Linked DNA regions of Saccharomyces cerevisiae S288C. Changing the gene in region 1 together with any one later gene gives a genetic interaction. Each region holds a gene or a part of one and is shown in the gene's direction. Other genes may lie near its edges.

What was found.
Region 2: mutations in WHI3 (region 1) and FAA1 together harm fitness less than expected from each alone (positive genetic interaction), as found in Saccharomyces cerevisiae (2 studies listed by BioGRID).
Region 3: mutations in WHI3 (region 1) and REI1 together harm fitness less than expected from each alone (positive genetic interaction), as found in Saccharomyces cerevisiae (2 studies listed by BioGRID).
Region 4: mutations in WHI3 (region 1) and MET28 together harm fitness less than expected from each alone (positive genetic interaction), as found in Saccharomyces cerevisiae (2 studies listed by BioGRID).

Annotation. Positions count from the first base shown.
Region 1 is NC_001146.8:266,870-271,235, reverse strand, and holds WHI3 (mRNA-binding protein WHI3), read left to right. Parts: upstream 1-1,642; coding exon 1,643-3,628; downstream 3,629-4,366. Other genes in the region: SLZ1 (Slz1p), read left to right, coding at 65-961. UniProt on the Saccharomyces cerevisiae protein: Involved in size control and cell cycle.
Region 2 is NC_001147.6:907,541-911,998, forward strand, and holds FAA1 (long-chain fatty acid-CoA ligase FAA1), read left to right. Parts: upstream 1-1,802; coding exon 1,803-3,905; downstream 3,906-4,458. Other genes in the region: metal cation transporter COT1, read right to left, coding at 1-15; YOR316C-A (uncharacterized protein), read right to left, coding at 186-395. UniProt on the Saccharomyces cerevisiae protein: Activates long-chain fatty acids (LCFA) by esterification of the fatty acids into metabolically active CoA-thioesters for subsequent degradation or incorporation into phospholipids.
Region 3 is NC_001134.8:738,293-741,762, forward strand, and holds REI1 (Rei1p), read left to right. Parts: upstream 1-1,548; coding exon 1,549-2,730; downstream 2,731-3,470. Other genes in the region: Rab family GTPase YPT10, read right to left, coding at 1-77; TSC10 (3-dehydrosphinganine reductase), read left to right, coding at 290-1,252; SLM6 (Slm6p), read right to left, coding at 1,644-2,096; mitochondrial 54S ribosomal protein mL54 MRPL37, read left to right, coding at 3,007-3,324. UniProt on the Saccharomyces cerevisiae protein: Pre-60S-associated factor involved in the cytoplasmic maturation of the 60S subunit. Involved in the dissociation and recycling of other late pre-60S factors like ARX1, TIF6 and ALB1 before newly synthesized large ribosomal subunits enter translation.
Region 4 is NC_001141.2:382,963-386,076, reverse strand, and holds MET28 (Met28p), read left to right. Parts: upstream 1-1,957; coding exon 1,958-2,521; downstream 2,522-3,114. Other genes in the region: YIR018C-A (uncharacterized protein), read left to right, coding at 376-513; YAP5 (Yap5p), read right to left, coding at 731-1,468; YIR016W (uncharacterized protein), read right to left, coding at 2,652-3,114. UniProt on the Saccharomyces cerevisiae protein: Acts as an accessory factor in the activation of sulfur amino acids metabolism genes. Possesses no intrinsic transcription activation abilities. Binds to the MET16 promoter as a complex with MET4 and CBF1. Enhances the DNA-binding activity of CBF1.

The DNA of each region.
Region 1 (4,366 bases):
AAGATCGTCCCATTTTCTACCTTAATCAGTATAGTAAAAATCAAAAACATAATATATTACTGTTATGATGAATAAAGTAGATCAAATCATCGGTTACAAAAAGTACGAAGTGAAACTACCAAAAGATCGACAAGTAAAGAAAAATAAATCAAAAGGTGGAAATGTTGATCAAATAGATACTAAGAGGGAAAAGGATAAAATGAGAGCTTTTGGTGAAGAAAGGAAAAAGTTCTTAGATAAAATGGCTAAAAACAAAAAAAAAAATACAAGTAGAAAAGATAGAGAGAAGCCAAAAGAAGTAGAAAAAGAAAACTACAAAAGAGAAGACAAAAGGCTAAAAGAACAGAAAAAATTATCACTGGCAAAAGAATTTCGTTTCAAAGAACCGAATTCAGAAGCCATTAATCAGAACACAGCAGCTGAAAATGGTAAACCTAAACCACAGACTGGACTAGATTTTGACATAGACCATCAAACCGTGTCCAAGATCATGATAGATCAGGCTATTCAAACATCTAGTCCTCTTAATGTCCAACTCACGGAACTTTTCAATGATAACGTCCTCGACGTCTCGAAAGATAGTCAGTTTGTCCTTCAAGACATGGAGTTCACCTCCTGGGAACGACGCTGGTCAAACTGCAGCACGACCAGTAATGCGACTACGGTCTCATCAGTTCCTGATCCCAAATATAATATCAACTACAACGACATAACCTCCTTCAATTCAGTAGCGCTAATTACCGAAGATCTTAACATATCTGCATCATCTAATGGTCTGCATGAGAGAGGTAAAAAGCTACTGCAGCAAGAGATGGAATACTCAAACAAGGTCAAAAATGTCACCATCGGGCTTGAAAGATTGTGTATGGATGAAAAACCAGTCCCAGATGCAGGAATAACCATGCAACAAGCGTCGCGCTGGTCAGAATTCCCCACTTGTTGCGATCAAGCTGCTATTTAGCTTTTCTAATTTAAAAAATTTATAAACTTCTTATAGTATTTCATCTTTATATCAAATACTATTAGCAAAATAAAAGGAAAGGAAAGGGAAAGGAACTTCTTTAGACTGCTTCGCACTGATTCTATCGCCATCCTTCTTCATGTTCTCAACTATTGGATATCTGCTCTATTTAGAACAATCGTTATTGTTACCCGCGTTAAATGGGGTAACTGATTGCTGCTTTTTTTTCTCGTTGTTTTGGACCTTTTCGGACATGAGAGGTCAAAAGAAAAAACAAACACGACCAAGTAAGCCGGAATAAACAAGTATAACCACCTGATTGAATTGCCTTCTTTAAACAAGCACAGACCTCCAAAAAGAAAAGGCTTTTGAAACGCTGCTCACGCACAGTTGTTTATTCCGTCCACATATTTTACGTGTCAGTTTCCTTTCTGTCTTCTCTTTATTCAATCAATTAGCATTAAAGAGAAAATAAGTCGTGTACTTTGAAAACCTTCTGTTCCTGTTTTCTTCCCGTATTTTTCATTTGCTTCACCAGCTTTTTCTCAACTGATCATATCATTTCAAGTTAAAAGTCTTTGTCATCACTTTTCTGTGAGTTGCAAATATTTGTAAGCGTCACTTACCTAGAGCAGCCTTTATCGATCAATATTTCAGAGGGAAAAACCTGTATCTCTTAGCATGCAAAGTTCAGTTTATTTTGACCAAACAGGGTCATTTGCGTCCAGTAGCGACAACGTTGTGTCTAGTACCACCAACACACACAACATTTCTCCCAGTCATCGTTCCAGTTTGAATCTGAACACTACTTCTCATCCCCACGAAGCGTCGGGTAGAGGAAGCGCAAGTGGGGAGTTGTATTTGAATGACACAAACTCACCCTTAGCGATATCTTCTATGCTAAACACACTTGCCCTTGGAAGTATGCCCCAAGACATTGCAAGCAGCAACATTAGCAATCACGATAACAACATTAAGGGGAGCTACAGCCTAAAATTGTCAAATGTAGCCAAGGATATTACTCTCAGAGAATGCTATGCAATCTTCGCTCTTGCTGAAGGTGTGAAAAGTATAGAATTACAGAAAAAAAACTCTTCATCAAGCATCACTTCTGCCTCATTAGAAGACGAGAATGATATTTTTATCATTGCCAGATTTGAGTTATTGAATCTAGCTATTAATTATGCCGTTATTTTGAATTCGAAAAATGAACTCTTTGGACCCAGTTTTCCCAATAAAACAACCGTTGAAATAATAGATGACACAACAAAAAACTTGGTTTCATTCCCATCATCTGCCATTTTCAATGACACCTCAAGATTGAATAAATCGAACTCGGGAATGAAAAGGCCAAGTCTGTTATCACAAAGATCCAGGTTTTCATTCAGCGATCCATTTTCCAATGATTCTCCTTTAAGCCAACAGCAATCTCAACAGCAGCAGCAACAGCCACAACAGCCACAACAACACTCTACGCAAAAACATTCACCACAACAATGTAATCAACAACAAGTGAATTCTTCAATACCGTTATCTTCTCAAGGCCAGGTTATTGGGTTACATTCTAACCATTCACATCAAGATTTGTCTGTGGAATCAACAATTCAAACATCTGATATTGGCAAATCTTTCCTTTTGAGAGATAACACTGAAATTAATGAAAAGATATGGGGCACAAGCGGTATACCTTCCAGCATCAACGGTTACATGAGCACTCCCCAACCTTCTACGCCAACTTTAGAATGGGGAAATACTTCTGCATCCCAACATGGTTCTTCGTTCTTTTTACCCTCTGCAGCATCGACAGCCATTGCACCTACGAATAGCAACACCAGTGCCAATGCAAACGCCAGCTCCAACAATGGAGCCAGCAATAATGGTGCTAACCAGGCACTCTCTGCCAGCTCGCAACAACCAATGATGCAAATTGGTAACACGATTAACACTTCCCTAACCTCTTCAAATTCATTGCCTCCATACGGTTTAATGTCTTCTCAATCGCAGCACATTTCAAATATGGTAAACACCTCTGATATGAACATTACACCTCAAAAACAGAACAGATTTATGCAACAACCCCAACCAGAGCATATGTATCCTGTGAATCAAAGTAACACTCCTCAAAAAGTACCGCCCGCAAGATTAAGTTCAAGTAGAAATTCACACAAGAATAACTCTACTACCTCATTATCCTCAAATATTACTGGATCTGCCTCGATTTCTCAGGCTGATTTGTCACTACTAGCCAGAATTCCACCTCCTGCCAACCCTGCTGATCAAAATCCACCTTGTAATACCCTTTATGTAGGGAATTTACCCTCCGACGCTACTGAGCAAGAACTAAGACAGCTATTTTCTGGTCAAGAAGGCTTCAGAAGACTATCATTCAGGAATAAGAATACCACATCTAATGGTCATAGTCACGGACCGATGTGCTTCGTTGAATTCGATGATGTCAGTTTTGCAACCAGAGCGTTAGCTGAATTGTATGGTAGACAGTTACCTCGCTCCACTGTGAGCAGTAAGGGAGGTATCAGATTAAGCTTTTCAAAAAACCCACTGGGTGTTAGGGGCCCAAACAGCAGAAGAGGAGGCAGTGGTAACCCAAATCCTAATGTAAATATGCTTTCCAGTTACAATTCTAATGTTGGTCATATAAAAAACTAAAAAAATGGTTCCGCAAAAACCTGATTTCCTTGCATGTATCACATTATATGCATTGCTTTTCATCTTTCCCCCACTATAATAAGAATAATATTTTCTGTCGCATTTTTTCTTTTTCTTTTATTATTTGTTATAATAATATTTTCTAAACCGACTAATAATAAGAATAACATCGATAATACTTTATCTCTTCAATTACGTTAAATTATCTTTTTACTATTACATTACAACGTGCATATAACAGAAATTTTTTCTTTTTCTGTCTAACATTTGAATTGTACTATGAATTAAACCCGCCATCTTTTTTCTTAACTACCATTTTGCGAACTCCTATACCGCTTCTGCAACAACAAGAACTTTTATTTTCAATTTTAATGTGCCATTCATTCCATTTTGCTTGCGCTAATGTGAATAAGATTGAGAGGGAAAAGTCTCACTATCGAATATCGCTCTTTAGTGTGATTATTGTCATCAAAGCACCAAGTGCTTAGGTGAGGTCATATCCGACAAATGTTTTGAAGAGAGAATATCTTTTTTTTATGCTGCCAACTTTTATTCTTTCCTTGTTTAAAAAACTCTGCCTTTGGATATTCTCCCACTATATATATGTATTAGCCTTACTTTTATTCCAGAACTCATTTTTATAGAAGTATATATCGGTATCGACTTCAATGTAATATTTTCAACCCTATGCTACAAGAGCAGATTAAAAAAATATGGGCTACCAGTGGCAAGAACATA
Region 2 (4,458 bases), on another chromosome or scaffold:
GCTTCCGAGTTTCATATTTACTCAATCTTTCCGTACTTTGTGTTAACTTTCTTTCTATAGCTATGCAGAACTATTCTGAGCAAAGTGAAAATAATTGGTTACTAAATAGAACCAGAAATGCTTTTCGAGCTCCCACGTAGAATATATAAGACCAATAAATTCCTTTATTGTACGGATATTCTGCATTACAAATGAGTCTTCTGCTTTATGCGGATCGTCAGCTTATATTGCCTTCGTACAGAAAATGAAAATTCACTACTGGAAACGGGTGAGCGGATGTATGAGTGTATAGTATACACCCGGTTTTTTTTACCCTTTCTAAGACCGGAGCTGGCGACAGTAAGTGATAAGCGGCCGTTGGCGGCCGTGGGTGAGTTATGCATGGGAACCAGCATGAGCCAGCGATGTTCACTATAAAGAGATTAAATGTAGAAAGTGCTGAGAGACCGATCGATTGGTAAACTTTTCAAAAGGTGGCCTTCTCCACACTTTCTTTTTCCCTCGTTCACTCTGCCTTGATCACATGCTTTTTTCTATGGTTAACTTTGAAAAATTCGTTCCATATCGCCCGCCACAAGTTAAAACCAGATATGCGTGGGATATAGTAGGGTGGACTGTTAAGTTAGCTATAATGGGCTTGTACTCTTTTTGAATACAAAAACCACCTTTCTACACCTTAATACAAGCGGTGGTTGGAAAGCATTCTTGATATATATAATTATATGAGTTTTGAAAAAAAGTACTGGGCATCATTTAAATAAGCGGGCTAAACTTTGTTTATGTTTAGGTTAACGATAGACATATTTATTTTTTTTTCTAGGAATAAAAATGAAGAACGGGAAGAAAAGGAAAAATGAAAATGAAGAATATGAAGAGTAAACCTACTTAAAAAAAAAAACCATACTTTAGTATTTAATGTAGCTACCACGCGTATTCGATACACTATTATTTTTCTTGACTTAGTATGTCAATTGTAGGTAGCCTCATGATGCCCTCTTGATCTAAGCGCGGTGAAAGTCCGCAGGCAATTGCTATAATACTGACAAAATTTATAAGGGGAGAGGGTCTTTTTTCGGTCCGCACGGAGCGGGCGAAGAAAACGTAGCGGTGAGAAAAGAATACGTCACCAAAGTATCAGAAACGTCACTGCGTTGTAGATGTAAGACCGATCCACTTTGCCAGCTGCTTACGCTGCGGAAAGTAAACAGACCTAGCTAGCGGACCGATAGAGCCGGCTGAACTTTATAACAAATGCGCCTTCTAACAAGCGATGAAGCCATGCTTAGCGCGGCAAAGAGAATTACTTAGAATATGGATGATGCAGCCCTGTCATATTCTTCCATAAGGGAATGACAAGGACAATAGTAAAGTCGATCACGCCCTGTCAGGAACATGATCTCCGCCATGTGAATATTTATGCATGATACAGGCACGAATACATCATATAATACGAATGACACAGGGGCACCCACCCATCGCATATCAGGAGAACTTCCCTGTGCATACGGGACAGCAGAGATAGGCTGTTCTCGCGCGTTTTTTTTTTTTTTTTGCTTTTTTTGGTTCCTTTCGCGGATATCGTATTATCGATATTACAACAAAAATGTTTGGAGATCTCCTTCGCTGTCTTTAAGTAAAAGGCTTTAACCGCTTATTTTTCTCTCTTTTTTTCCTTTTACCCCTCACTTGTCGTGAGACAATTGTAGTATATTTAGTAAGTATAGAAAGTTCTTGTTGTTAAAAAACTCGTTAGGATACAATAAAAACTAGAACAAACACAAAAGACAAAAAAAGACAACAATATGGTTGCTCAATATACCGTTCCAGTTGGGAAAGCCGCCAATGAGCATGAAACTGCTCCAAGAAGAAATTATCAATGCCGCGAGAAGCCGCTCGTCAGACCGCCTAACACAAAGTGTTCCACTGTTTATGAGTTTGTTCTAGAGTGCTTTCAGAAGAACAAAAATTCAAATGCTATGGGTTGGAGGGATGTTAAGGAAATTCATGAAGAATCCAAATCGGTTATGAAAAAAGTTGATGGCAAGGAGACTTCAGTGGAAAAGAAATGGATGTATTATGAACTATCGCATTATCATTATAATTCATTTGACCAATTGACCGATATCATGCATGAAATTGGTCGTGGGTTGGTGAAAATAGGATTAAAGCCTAATGATGATGACAAATTACATCTTTACGCAGCCACTTCTCACAAGTGGATGAAGATGTTCTTAGGAGCGCAGTCTCAAGGTATTCCTGTCGTCACTGCCTACGATACTTTGGGAGAGAAAGGGCTAATTCATTCTTTGGTGCAAACGGGGTCTAAGGCCATTTTTACCGATAACTCTTTATTACCATCCTTGATCAAACCAGTGCAAGCCGCTCAAGACGTAAAATACATAATTCATTTCGATTCCATCAGTTCTGAGGACAGGAGGCAAAGTGGTAAGATCTATCAATCTGCTCATGATGCCATCAACAGAATTAAAGAAGTTAGACCTGATATCAAGACCTTTAGCTTTGACGACATCTTGAAGCTAGGTAAAGAATCCTGTAACGAAATCGATGTTCATCCACCTGGCAAGGATGATCTTTGTTGCATCATGTATACGTCTGGTTCTACAGGTGAGCCAAAGGGTGTTGTCTTGAAACATTCAAATGTTGTCGCAGGTGTTGGTGGTGCAAGTTTGAATGTTTTGAAGTTTGTGGGCAATACCGACCGTGTTATCTGTTTTTTGCCACTAGCTCATATTTTTGAATTGGTTTTCGAACTATTGTCCTTTTATTGGGGGGCCTGCATTGGTTATGCCACCGTAAAAACTTTAACTAGCAGCTCTGTGAGAAATTGTCAAGGTGATTTGCAAGAATTCAAGCCCACAATCATGGTTGGTGTCGCCGCTGTTTGGGAAACAGTGAGAAAAGGGATCTTAAACCAAATTGATAATTTGCCCTTCCTCACCAAGAAAATCTTCTGGACCGCGTATAATACCAAGTTGAACATGCAACGTCTCCACATCCCTGGTGGCGGCGCCTTAGGAAACTTGGTTTTCAAAAAAATCAGAACTGCCACAGGTGGCCAATTAAGATATTTGTTAAACGGTGGTTCTCCAATCAGTCGGGATGCTCAGGAATTCATCACAAATTTAATCTGCCCTATGCTTATTGGTTACGGTTTAACCGAGACATGCGCTAGTACCACCATCTTGGATCCTGCTAATTTTGAACTCGGCGTCGCTGGTGACCTAACAGGTTGTGTTACCGTCAAACTAGTTGATGTTGAAGAATTAGGTTATTTTGCTAAAAACAACCAAGGTGAAGTTTGGATCACAGGTGCCAATGTCACGCCTGAATATTATAAGAATGAGGAAGAAACTTCTCAAGCTTTAACAAGCGATGGTTGGTTCAAGACCGGTGACATCGGTGAATGGGAAGCAAATGGCCATTTGAAAATAATTGACAGGAAGAAAAACTTGGTCAAAACAATGAACGGTGAATATATCGCACTCGAGAAATTAGAGTCCGTTTACAGATCTAACGAATATGTTGCTAACATTTGTGTTTATGCCGACCAATCTAAGACTAAGCCAGTTGGTATTATTGTACCAAATCATGCTCCATTAACGAAGCTTGCTAAAAAGTTGGGAATTATGGAACAAAAAGACAGTTCAATTAATATCGAAAATTATTTGGAGGATGCAAAATTGATTAAAGCTGTTTATTCTGATCTTTTGAAGACAGGTAAAGACCAAGGTTTGGTTGGCATTGAATTACTAGCAGGCATAGTGTTCTTTGACGGCGAATGGACTCCACAAAACGGTTTTGTTACGTCCGCTCAGAAATTGAAAAGAAAAGACATTTTGAATGCTGTCAAAGATAAAGTTGACGCCGTTTATAGTTCGTCTTAATGGATCAACATTTCCATGATAGGAAAGCCTCATCATACTAAAGCACTTTTTCAGTTTTTTGCTTTAGAACTGCTACCAATTATAAAATAGAATGCACAGGTTATCTTGTTTGGTTTGTTATTATCCTTTTTTCTTCTTTACCAGTCATATCACCTCATTCACGTATGTTCGTAATTTATAATGTTAAAAATGGCATATATAGATATATTTATGAACATCCTAAAAAATAACTAAATTTTTCTACATTTCAAAAAAGGTAACGTTGACTGCCGCATGGCAGTCTAATTAGGAGCTTAGTGATACATATATATATATATATAAATTTCGGCCAAGACACCTCACATAAGAAGCATTACCAGAGGTGTCCTGATCTGAGATGGACCCTGTCTCATTTGTTGAGTTGACAAAATATCAGGGAAATTGATTACCCTGGTGTGCACTGACTCCTTAGTACTCATTTTCACAGCTTCGTACACATCATGGAAGACAAACCATAGCAACCAGCCGCTCTCATTCAATCTCGCATAGACTGGAAGAAGAAGCTCCAGAAGCA
Region 3 (3,470 bases), on another chromosome or scaffold:
GATTTGAGCCTAGTCACTATACTGGTTTTCCCCACTGATGAATCTCCTAGCAGTACCACTTTGATGGTTGCTTCCATATCGTATTCCTCCGTATTTTGTGCTACTTGTATTTCCTGGAGTAATTTTACTATCATTGTTCCTTAACGTGAAACGTAAGGCTAAAAAACAATAAACGACAAAAAAAAAACAAAAAAATGAAAAATGCAGAGGAGTTTCTCTGCATTTACTGGAAGCGATTAAATAAGATTGCCTCAAGAAAAGAAGTTATCGGTATAATCTTTTGTAGGTAATGAAGTTTACGTTAGAAGACCAAGTTGTGTTGATCACTGGTGGTTCACAAGGTCTTGGAAAGGAATTCGCCAAAAAATATTATAATGAGGCTGAAAACACAAAGATTATTATCGTCAGTAGGTCAGAGGCTAGACTGCTGGACACATGCAACGAAATTAGGATTGAAGCTCACCTGAGAAGGGAAACCACTGACGAGGGCCAAGTGCAACATAAGTTGGCTGCGCCCTTGGACCTTGAGCAACGGTTATTTTACTACCCATGCGACTTGTCCTGCTACGAATCCGTGGAATGTTTGTTCAATGCCCTGAGAGACTTGGATTTACTCCCTACACAAACGTTATGCTGTGCAGGGGGGGCTGTTCCTAAGTTATTTCGTGGGCTAAGCGGACATGAGTTGAACTTGGGTATGGACATCAACTATAAAACAACTTTGAACGTGGCACATCAGATTGCCCTTGCAGAGCAAACCAAGGAACACCACCTCATCATCTTTTCTAGTGCCACCGCGCTTTACCCATTTGTGGGCTATTCCCAGTATGCGCCTGCAAAAGCTGCAATCAAATCACTGGTAGCAATCTTAAGACAAGAACTGACGAACTTCCGTATCAGTTGTGTTTATCCTGGTAATTTTGAAAGCGAAGGTTTCACTGTAGAGCAGCTAACGAAACCCGAAATTACAAAGTTGATCGAAGGCCCCTCAGACGCTATCCCATGCAAACAAGCATGTGATATCATTGCCAAGTCGCTGGCCAGAGGTGATGATGACGTTTTTACAGATTTTGTCGGATGGATGATAATGGGGATGGACCTTGGGCTCACCGCAAAGAAAAGCCGCTTTGTTCCGTTGCAATGGATTTTTGGTGTCCTATCAAACATTCTGGTCGTGCCATTCTACATGGTTGGCTGTTCCTGGTATATCAGGAAATGGTTTCGTGAAAATGACGGCAAGAAGGCCAACTGAGAGCACATCCACTCTCATTCCCGATATTCCCCGTGACTCTCTTTATTTCTTTCAAGACAAACCCTAGTGGTGTAGCTATTTGTACATGTATAAGTATATACGAAATATTAATTATAACATTATTACCACGGCGATATTTTCCTATTTTTATTCTCTTTTCTTACTATATTTTGAAAGTTTTTCTTATGGGTACCGATGCGATGAGGTGAAAAAAATTTTCCTCTTTCCACTTTTAGTACAGGTTATGAGATGCTTCTCATTAGAAGTCAAGAAGAGAGCATATCAGTAACAATACGATGAGTAGCAGTGGTGTTTATACGTGTAATTCATGTGTCCTGACCTTTGATTCAAGCGACGAGCAGCGGGCCCACATGAAGTCCGATTGGCATCGCTACAATTTGAAAAGACGTGTTGCACAATTGCCACCAATATCATTTGAGACATTTGACTCCAAAGTGTCTGCAGCTGCTGCCAGTACTAGTAAGTCTGCTGAAAAGGAGAAACCTGTTACCAAAAAGGAGTTGAAAAGAAGGGAAAAGCAAGCATTGCTCGAAAAGAAAAAGAAACTGTTGGAAATTGCCAGGGCTAATATGCTTGAAAACATGCAAAAGAGCCAAGAGGGAAATACTCCCGACCTAAGCAAGCTCTCTTTGCAAGAAAATGAGGAGAACAAGGAAAAGGAAGAACCTAAGAAGGAGGAGCCTGAACAGTTGACCGAGGAAGAAATGGCGGAAAGAGTAATGCAAGAAAAGCTACGCAACAGAGTCGATATTCCACTGGAACAATGTCTATTTTGTGAGCACAATAAGCACTTCAAAGATGTTGAAGAAAACCTGGAACACATGTTTAGGACCCACGGGTTTTATATCCCAGAACAGAAATATCTAGTCGACAAGATCGGCTTGGTAAAATACATGTCGGAGAAGATTGGTCTTGGGAACATTTGTATTGTTTGTAATTACCAGGGGAGAACGTTGACCGCTGTAAGACAGCACATGTTGGCAAAGAGACACTGTAAAATTCCCTACGAAAGCGAGGATGAAAGGTTGGAGATATCTGAATTCTACGATTTTACAAGCTCATACGCAAACTTTAATAGCAACACAACACCAGACAACGAAGATGACTGGGAAGACGTGGGCAGCGACGAAGCCGGAAGCGACGACGAAGATCTGCCACAAGAGTACTTATATAACGATGGTATAGAGCTGCATCTACCGACAGGCATCAAAGTTGGCCACAGGTCCTTGCAAAGATACTACAAGCAAGACTTAAAGCCCGAGGTGATACTGACCGAAGGCCAAGGTACCCTGGTCGCTGCAGAGACGAGATCGTTCTTACCTGCCTTCGACAAAAAGGGCGTGCAGACTCAACAGCGTGTTTGGCAAACTGAGAGGTTCGACAAGAAAAGGCTCGATAAGAGAAGTGCCAAGTTCGTCAATAACCAACCACACTACAGAGACCAACTTCTGCAGTAATTCTTTTTGCACTACTTTTTTTAGTATTTTGTCGCATATATACTGCTTCACCATTTGTACATTAGATAATTCTTCACTACCCCCTCTATAGCAATGTTATAGTCATTGAATCATGCTTTGAAATGCCTGTTCTAATATTCTCTTCATATAATAAATGCGTGATGCCGGGTATTTGTGCGCCCTTGTTTGGCGCAAAAATCTCGAAAGTGAAAAAACTAATAGGCTTCTTAAAGCAGTTATATCTACAGCAAAGGAAATAGCTGCTGAAGACTGAAGATGTTGGCGCGCAGTTTGGGTTACAGGTTGATATCGACCAGTCGTATCTTATATAATAAACCCACGGTTAAGTCAGTGGTGTCGTCGTGTCCTGCGGGAACATCGCTTAACTTAAACATATGGAAGAGCGGTAAAGACGCAGTGGCACTCGAGGACAAGGAGTATCCAAATTGGTTATGGAGCGTATTGGATAGTGATCACGTTGTCGAACATGCGGCTGAGGACCCAGAGGGACAGGCTCTCTTAAAGAGAAGAAAGAACATAAGGAAGGCGAACAGGCAGCGAATCAAGCAAAACAATTTCTTGAGCCAACTTTAAGCCTCCGTTAATAAGATCAAGTTTGGTATCCTTGTAAATAAATATGTGTGTACGTGGTTAAATAGTATGTTTTTAGCATAATGCCTTATTTTGTACCAACAAAAACATGATAGTTCCCACATATCTTTTCGCCTGGGGAATACCAA
Region 4 (3,114 bases), on another chromosome or scaffold:
GAGACCAGTATGGAAGGAGATTTGCTTGCGCCAAAGCTTCTTTTGCGTAACGTCTAACTACAGCTAGATTCTCAAAAATTCGTGTTCAACTCAGAAGAGGAAAGCAATTTAAAAATGAAATTTGCGGGGATCCCATTATCTCTATTGTTTAGCACATTAGGATCTCATCCGCCAATACTAGAATTTGACACGACTTTCAAAAGGAAAGATCTAAATTATGGTATCATGTTAATAATCAGTACGCATATTCGCATTTAGATTTAAATGGTTTGCGTCCAGTTTTTCTTATGTACGATCTATTTTACGTTATAATAACGGTTCTACCATTACATTTACATAGTAGACAGGCTGCCACTCCTCTGCGTCAAAAATAATATGCCTAGTGATTATACTTCCCATTACCCAGTAATACTTATCAAAAAAAAAAAAAAAAAAATTGCAGGAATGTATAGGCATAGTAAGCGGTACCTTGAGATAATGTCCACCGCTTCAGCTCAATTCGTCGGAAACTAACGTCTCAAAATATGGCGGCGAGAACACCAAAGGCGGGGTGTCCAAAACGCTTTTGCACTCTGCGGCCAATGTCCATGAACTAATTCTTTACACATAACCACAGTAATAAACTTGCAAAGAAAAAAGCAATGTCACTCCTTTCATGTGCGTTCTTTTGACGTTACAAAAGTTGAGCTGTTCAATGACGTATTTATAAGTATTAAGAAGTTCTCTCTCTTCAGTGGATGATGGACCGGATGTCGATACATGATTTGTCGATATTAGTACAATTACTACAGAGCCCATTGGGGTTATCTTTATTATTGCACTCTGCATGTGGCATCGACATATCCTTCTGTTCTGTGGCCACACCGTCGTCACTTTTACGGTGATCTGTTTCCAGTTCTTTACAAACGCAAGTAGTGTTGTCGTTACAAAAGCCGCATTTGACAGAGCTAGGCAGTTCTGTCGAGTGCTGGTGGCGCTTGATAGCGGTATTGTACTTAATAGGTATCGCCTTCATTGGTTTGAAATTCTCGATCAAATTCTGCAGGATAGGGTCCTGAGCAGGCACAGAGGCTTGTTTCAGAGTAAGGGTCTCCAATTTCTGTTTAAGGGCATGATTTTCCGATTCTTTCGCTTGAAGTTCATTTTGGAGGCGGTTTAGTTTCGTTTCGTAGTTTTTAACGACCTTACTCAGTGACTCTATGGTTTCCTCCAGCACTTGCAACTTGTTGTTTTTGCGTTCTCTGTAGGCCCTTTGGGCGTCTCTATTCTGCCGTTTTTTCTTCTGTAGCTCCTCATCATTTTCTTCAGTTTCGTAATCTTCGTGAAGTCGATGAACTCTTTTCCTCCGCTGAGCTGCTCTATGGGGCAACCTTGGAGGCAGTTTCCAATTTTTGGACACGTGGATCTTGGACAAAAGAGCGAGGTGGCTTTCCTCAGACTCCTTAGGTTTTATCAGAGGTAGAGCCATGACTGTGATAATATGCTAGTTACACTGTTTATGTTGTGTGAACTTGTTGTAATATGGTTAACTTCACTTTCAGTGATTGATATGATAGCGACATCACTGCCGTGCAAAAAGACCATTCCATTACTGCACCTTTTTGTCCTTTTCCGTGGAATAAAAGTTCACTCGTCAGTTCCATGCATTCTGGAAAAAAATGATCTGAAAGATGCCACAGTTGTGGGGCCCGCCCGGCCCAATAGGTAAACTAAAATACAATAGAAGGGGTACTGAGTGCACGTGACTTATTTTTTTTTTTTGGTTTTAGGTTTCGCTTTTTTCACCTTTTTCTACTTTCTAACACCACAGTTTTGGGCGGGAAGCGGAAACGCCATAGTTGTAGGTCACTGGCGTGAGTCAAGGCCGGGCAGCCAATGACTAAGAACACGAGGTAACTTGAATTTAACTATTTATAACCAGTGGTAGTTACGAAGACAAATTGTTTTGTTCGTCAATATGAGTGCGAAACAAGGGTGGGAAAAGAAATCAACAAACATTGACATTGCAAGCAGGAAGGGTATGAACGTGAACAATCTTTCGGAACATCTACAGAACCTGATATCAAGCGATTCAGAGCTGGGCTCGCGCTTGCTATCATTGCTGCTGGTTAGCAGTGGCAACGCGGAGGAGCTCATTAGCATGATAAATAATGGCCAGGATGTCTCGCAGTTTAAGAAGCTCCGCGAGCCGAGAAAGGGGAAGGTTGCCGCAACAACAGCAGTTGTTGTAAAAGAAGAGGAAGCTCCCGTGAGCACTTCTAACGAACTGGATAAGATTAAGCAAGAGCGGAGAAGAAAGAACACAGAGGCGTCGCAGCGGTTCCGCATTCGCAAGAAACAAAAGAATTTTGAGAACATGAATAAGCTGCAGAACTTAAACACGCAAATCAACAAACTTCGCGATCGTATAGAGCAATTGAACAAGGAAAATGAGTTTTGGAAAGCAAAGCTCAATGACATTAACGAGATTAAGTCTTTGAAATTGTTGAATGACATTAAGAGACGGAACATGGGCAGGTAGCCCGCGAAACGTGCGGGCCTGATGTCTTGTTTTTCCTCTCCAACTTCGATTTTTCGATTTTTCCGTTTCTTTACCTAGCATATATATACACACATCTATCTACATATAAATATATATATATGTATATTTATTATTTATAGCATTGCGCGTGAGACAAAAGCGAGATCTTTTCGTCCCACTCCGCATTGATCAAGGACCGTTTATATTCCACAGACTCTATCTCGCTGGGAGAGCACCATCCTATAGTACGAAAGTTTGTAATAACTCGAGCGTACTGAGCGTCTTCCAGTTGTTGTTGGCGGCGTAAAGACTGCGCGGCTGCAGATGTGACGATAAATCTCTCGGAATCTGGGCGGCTAGCGGGACATACTGAATGCGTATGTTTGTCTCTGGGCATACTGTTCCTTCGAAAGAAAATACTCGAGGCTTTGGCAAGAAAACTGAGTTTTTCTTGTTCTGCCGGAACGCTAAGGCTTCCAGTTATGTCTTCGCGGCCAGATTTTCCTTGGTGTAAGATTGCAGATATTGCGCTCACAGAACTACGGTGCCGCCGACTTTGAACGCGCGGGCTGGACGATGATGACGATGACATA